2 linked regions of the Arabidopsis thaliana genome follow. The protein of the gene in region 2 interacts with the protein of the main gene of each other region in a pairwise test. Each region holds a gene or a part of one and is shown on either strand. Other genes may lie near its edges. The genes, in order: URO and GIS2.

Evidence for each region.
Region 1: the proteins of GIS2 (region 2) and URO interact in a two-hybrid assay, tested with the Arabidopsis thaliana proteins (one large-scale study listed by BioGRID).

Annotation. Positions count from the first base shown.
Region 1 is NC_003074.8:8,248,972-8,252,297, reverse strand, and holds URO (C2H2 and C2HC zinc fingers superfamily protein), read right to left. Parts: upstream 1,780-3,326; 5' UTR 1,720-1,779; coding exon 1,201-1,719; 3' UTR 815-1,200; downstream 1-814. Other genes in the region: AT3G23145 (ATP binding / aminoacyl-tRNA ligase/ nucleotide binding protein), read right to left, coding at 98-160.
Region 2 is NC_003076.8:2,041,341-2,044,713, forward strand, and holds GIS2 (C2H2 and C2HC zinc fingers superfamily protein), read left to right. Parts: upstream 1-2,078; 5' UTR 2,079-2,145; coding exon 2,146-2,721; 3' UTR 2,722-2,860; downstream 2,861-3,373. Other genes in the region: EXT10 (Proline-rich extensin-like family protein), read right to left, coding at 1-588; AT5G06645 (gibberellin-regulated-like protein), read left to right, coding at 1-2. UniProt on the Arabidopsis thaliana protein: Probable transcription factor required for the initiation of inflorescence trichomes in response to gibberellin and cytokinin. Is not involved in the regulation of trichome branching. Is functionally equivalent to ZFP8.

The sequences.
Region 1 (3,326 bases), on a different chromosome or scaffold from region 2:
GCAAAAAAAATATATATATTTAACACAAAAAAAAAAAAAAAAATGCAACAACAGAATGTTATAATCTTCATTAGCAACAAGGCCAACAACAACATACCTTATAGTTCTGACCAGCTTCAAAATTAGATAGTGGTGTTTTACAACCAGTACTATAAGGCATAACCTTGAAGCATCTATAGACAAGATTCTTATAAAAAAATCAGCCTACTACACCCAATTAAAATCTTTAATTTGAGTTATATATTTTAACACCGTCATTTCAATTTTTCCATGATTTTTAAGCCCAGCAAATCATAATCTGGCTCTTGAAATTTACGAACCCAAAAATCAAACCTCCAAATGATATTGGGCCTTTTAACTGGTCATACTTTGATCGCTACTTCTACTTCTAAACTTCAACTTTCAGTTCATAAAACCCAGATTTGACTTTCATTTACTCTCCTTTATTTTTTATGCATGTAATATACTATCACATTTTTATAATCATAATTTGTTTTACAACATCAAGGCTATGATTGATTCATATGAGCTCACATGGGTCTGCAAAAATGTAGTTTCTAAATTTGGAAGGCTTTTCAAATGGTGTAAATTATAAACTTCACCAACCTATTATTAAAACGCATATAATGTTTATCCCATTGCAGTTCGAATTCATTCATAATATAAGTTTAAACTTACTTTATAATGTAAATTCATACAAACCCACTTGAAATGTAAATTCATGTAAAATATTATACAAGAGAATGATAGATAGTCTTTGATTATACAAACCCAAATTTCATACAACGTAACTAATTATTAGAACATATTACGCAAAACTACTTGATCTATAGATCTACACTAATATATAGTTATGGAAAAGAACAATAATCCTGTACTATACAAACCCAACTTCAGACAACAAGAACATTTTTTTTTCTTTTTGAAAAAGGTATAACAAAAACATTACTCAAATTAACCTATTTGATCTATAATTTTTAAGTGAAAAATATAGTCTTGAATTATACAAACCCAAACTTCATACGATCATGATAAAAACATGACTCCAAGTCCAACATATTTTGATCATACTACATATATATTGAAAACATATATAAACACCACAATAAACATCATGCACTATACGGTGATTAACTTTCAACTATATATATATATTGTATATGGTTACGTGGATCGAACGTGAGGGAAACCGCTGCAAGCTTAATGATGACGATGACCGCCGAGTCGAAGATCAAGATCAAGATCACCATCTTGAGGTTGAGAACCTCCGGTCTCTGGTGGGCTCCGGTGAGTGTCATCATCTTCATTCATGGATCCGAGCCCTAAGCTCAAATTAAGATCATGAGACGCCCCTTGAGCAAATCTCCCTCCTCCTCTTGATGATGATGATGATCCAAAGTATTGTGTGTTGTGGCTAGGGTTAATAGGTGGCTGAGACCCTTGGTGTAGGTATGACTCAATGGTCGGAAAATAAGGAGGAGGGTTTGTGAAGTTTGTGGAGGAGGAGGGAGACTGAGATGGTAACGGAAGAGAAAATGGAAATGAGTGAGAAGAAGAAGAGGAGGAGGGGTATCTTTCGCGTTCCCTGCGGTGGATGTTATTGTGACCACCGAGGGCTTGAGGATTCGTGAAACCTCTCTTGCAGATGTCGCAGTCATAAGTCCGGCGGTTTTCTCCAGAGCCAGAGCCGGAATCAATTTGTTTGTCCCGGTGGTTCATCTCTCTCTTCTTCTTCTGTTGGGATCTCTCTCAAGTCTCAGTATTCAATGTTTTGAAAATGAGTGTATGAAGCTTCTTAAAAACACACACCAGCGTATATATAAGCTAAAGGAAAGATTATGTGTGTGAACGGACACTAATTAGGGCTAAATTGTTTTATCAATGGTTAATATATATACTTTAGGGTCTTTAATGTACTTAATTACGGGGGTGTGTATTATAATTAAATTCGTGCGTCTAATGTAACATGAATTAATAACTACAAAAACGTCATGCTTAGAATTATTTTAATTAGTTTATTTTCTAACAATTTTCAGGGAAAGTTTAACAAAGGATAATATAATAGATAAAGTTGAAAAATATTCTTCATAGGAAAACAAACTACAGAAGGTGTTATTTATAAGGTTTCGAGTGACTAGTTAGGGTAGCTAGTTTCTCTCTATTCAATTTCATTTTTGTTCAAGAAAAATATAAAGTTGTTCATCTTTGAATATAGTACAAAAAAGTACTTATTTGTTTGGATCGAGAGTAAAAATTGCAAAGTAAAATTGTAAAAATTGGAAGGCTAGTAGGAGCTAGTGAAATATTAAAGCTTAGTTAAATTTAATCTAATATAGTGTGAAATATATTTTGAATGTGAACATGTAATACCTACAAAATAATAAAACCAAATTTTTTAAAAGAAGCATTCACTAAGGAGTTGTGGACTTGTGGTTGTGCTTAAAGTAGGTAAAACAATTAAGAATATACAAATTGCTCTCATTAATTAAATAGCATTTATGAAATTTATTATGAGTTCTCCCCAAAACTGAAATTGATTTCGATGGTTTCTATACTTAGAAAAATATGCTTTAACAAAAACAAAATAAAACTTAGAAAAAAATACGATCGATGAGCGATCGCCTGCTACTCTTAGGATTGCTAAAATTAATATTTTACTGTATTCAATTTCAGAACCGACAAAATAATATTCACCTCCATAAACTTACTTCGTTCACACCGGTACCCTTTAACTTCTATGGACCGATTGAAACCGCGTTTTATAAGTTCGGTTTTAGCTATTGCCATATCGTTTTTTAGGATATAATAGAACGTTTAACGAATCACGATGGATCAAAACTCTCTATATATGCAATGGAAAATAATTATAGCCTCAAGAAAAATGATATTATGGAAGTTGAATAGATTTGTTATTATGTAGGCTGACTTCCTTTTGGCGTAGTCTCTTTTTAGTGAGATCATGCAGATAATATATAGTAAAACAAGTATACCATTATGTTTTATGGATTTAGATAAAGAACTATTGTCATTCGTTTTCTATAAGCTGATCAGGAGCATTAATGTTTTATAGGATTTCGAGAACATGTGAGAATCCTACTGACTTAAGAATATTCACTAGTGAATTTATAACAGACGAAAAAGAACTTTGGGACTACAGCTCATCGTAGACTTTAGCCTCCTAAAGCTACATTTATTTCTTTCATCAATAACATTTGTTTCATAAAACCCGCACGAACAAATATTCTAAATTGGCATGTGGATAAGAAACAAACTCGGTCAAGGTAAGGTCTATATAATTAAGCTTGATAAAAGAATCATACGGAAAA
Region 2 (3,373 bases):
AGGAGAAGGAGAGTAGTATGGTGGAGGTGGAGAATTGTAGACGTACGGTGGTGGTGGAGACTTGTATTCAACCTTTGGCGAAGGAGAATAGTATGGTGGGGGTGGGGAGCTGTAGACGTATGGTGGTGGAGGAGACTTATAGTCAACCTTCGGAGAAGGAGAATAGTATGGTGGAGGTGGGGAACTGTAGACGTAAGGTGGTGGTGGAGACTTATAATCAACCTTTGGTGAAGGAGAATAGTATGGTGGAGGTGGAGAGTTGTAGACGTTTGGTGGTGGTGGAGACTTATAGTTTACTTTTGGAGAAGGAGAATAGTATGATGGAGGTGGTGGAGAAATATAAACGTATGGTTTTGGATGTGGCGCGTACTTAGGGCTTTTGTGTTCATGGCTGGGAGAATTGTAATGTGGGGTTTGAGGGGATGAGTAAGGAGAGGAGTAAGGGTATGATGTCACTGTAGCCGCAATGGCACTTAGGACCACAACGTAAACCATGCAATGCCCTAACCCCATCGTTCTTGAGGATCTCATCATACCCATCTCTTTATTTTTATTTATTTGTTTTGGTTTTATGTTATACTTGAACATGAATACCATTTATATAGTCTTTTTTTGTGTGTGTAAATATTATACTATCTTCTCAAGTTGGCTTCGTGTGTGGCACTTCCAATTACATTAGAGGACGTGCAATGTTGTTTGTTTGAAATAAAGTAGCAATTCGATCGTGGAGAATATGAAATTTTATTAGATCCTCAATTTTTGAAATATTTGTTCGTTTTCTTTTGTTTGAACTTTGTCAACTCAAATAATTAGAAGAACAAAAGACTATTAATGATTATTTTAGCTATTGAGAAAATTTTTGTTTCATAAATTTTATGTGACAAGGGAAAAAATATTTTATTTCTCTTATGATGAATTAAAAGGCTGTGTATTAACTACTGCTTTTGTTTCTAAAGGATTATTGAAGAATTTTAGGGTATATTAGAGTTGCTTAAGCTGTTCTTCTTCTGTTAAAGCAACTGCATGCGAATCGATCGTGTGAGCAACGTTTGGTTCACGACCATGTTCTTTCCTCATGGGCGACCACTTTCATGATCCATTATAATAAAACAAATATGACGAAGACAAATTAACATAATATATCGTCACTGTTGCAGTTTGTTATGGAGAGTAACATTAATGAATCTGTTTTTAACAAGATCGTACTTCGAGACGAAAAGCAAAATCCAAACACAAAAAAAAGTAATCGCGCAGATGAGGAAACAAAGATGTGACACCACGCAGTTTACCATCTAACTACATTAATTTGAGGGATCCACCTGAAAACTTGTACTATATGTTAATTCATATGCATGGTTGTTTTATTTTACTTTTTGGTCTTGTGGTTAGTATTACCTACTCAAAAATGAGGATTTGATTAGATGAGGCAACATACAATTTGATTAACTACTCAAAAACATGGTTGTTCTAAAACTGACCATAAGGAAGAAAAAAATGTATATATATCACGACAGAGATTTGAAGTTTTGGACTAAAGCCTCACACATAGCCATCAGTGTTATATACTGTATATAAGCTGTCACTATTAAACATAGAAACAGGAACCTTAAAGATACAACTATATACTATCTTGACATCAAATACGTGTACTAAAACCTTTTCATAAAAGATGCATTGACATGACATATCAATGATGGTAGTTCGACGGGTAGAAATCATCAAGGCAAATCCGCATTTGAATTGAATGCTCACTAGATTATCTACAAGGAGACAAACCAATTAGCTCACTAGTTTAGTTCAATTCTTGTCTGGCTAATCCTATCTACATATACAAGACTATAATATAGCAAAATTAGAAAGAATATAGCTAGAAACGGGTAAATATATACTACTTACCAAAAACTAAATGTGCCTGAATAGGTCTATTATAGTTAATAGTTATTCAGTGTAAATTATCTATGTACATACCCCATCGGGAATTAAATGCAAGAAACATAGAGGAGACCGTACTTCGAAGTTGCAAATTTAACACTAAGTTGAAGAATCTAGAAATAGAAAGCCAAAATCTTCCTTTACTTCAACTCTACAATTTCAATCTTTTCTCTGTACTTAGCCATCCAGAGTCATAACCACCACTATATTAAAATGAAGACTTATGATTTCATGAACGTCAACTCTTTCTCTCCTAAGGAAAGACCCATTCGCCTCTTTGGCTTCGAGTTTGGAGCTTCTCATGAAGAATCTGAGTCCAAAGACAATTACAACGAGAACAATGAAAGCATCAAAGACGATAACAAAGAAAAAAGATTCAAGTGCCACTATTGTTTCCGGAACTTCCCTACTTCACAAGCCCTAGGCGGCCATCAAAACGCTCACAAGAGAGAACGTCAACAAACTAAACGCTTCAACCTCCATTCAAACGCAGCCGCTTTCTTCCACCGCCAACAAAACCACATTGCTGCTTCTAGGCTCTACGAGGATCGCTATAGCCTTGAAGCTGTTCAAATCAACGACGCGAGATTAGGGTTATGTCGTATGTATAACTCATCTGCGAGTTTTAATCGTGACCGTTCATCTTATTATAATAGATATATTCCTTGGTTCATCGGTGATCACCAGACTAGACCAACGTATGTCGGTGGTGGTAGCAGCAGCCATGGTCTGTTTTACGAGTCCAAGAAGAATGTACCGGACCACGTGAGTTTGGATCTACGCCTCTAGTTCCATTCTTTTAGTATCTCTCTCTAGCTAGTTCTTAAAAAAAAAAAAAGAGAGACTAGTTTTTTTTCCTTCTTTCAAATACTTTTTATTTTATTTTAGTCTACTTGATTAATTATGAATTTATGATAGTGTATCCCCGTAGATATCATGTTATATTAACAGTTAAACAATTTTATGGAGATGAACTTTAACTTCAGATAGTTTCTTTCTGAGATTTAAAGTCTTAAATATTATCGACGCATTCCAATCTCAGAATAGGTTTATATCTCACATTATAAGTATAGAATTGAGAATGGACCTTAACCCATGAAACTTAACAAAAACAAAATTAACATATGCTAAAATCTTCGGATTGTATTTTAAAATCGCTACTTGAAACTTCAACTTGTATCTAAAAAGGTAAAATTATTAATTGAATAATATAGTGTTTAGAAGCGAAACATTCGTCAATCACATCTAACGACGGTTAAAGTATGTGATTAATTGGGAATATTTAAATGATCGATTTGATAATCAGCAAGACAGCAACCATAAAAGTGGACACTTTAATTTTCGTAAAAAACAATTTGACCTTTTATTTTCTAAAAAAAATATTCAAATATCAAAAAATACGAATTTATTTGTAACATTTTTTTCGATTTTTGTTTTTTAA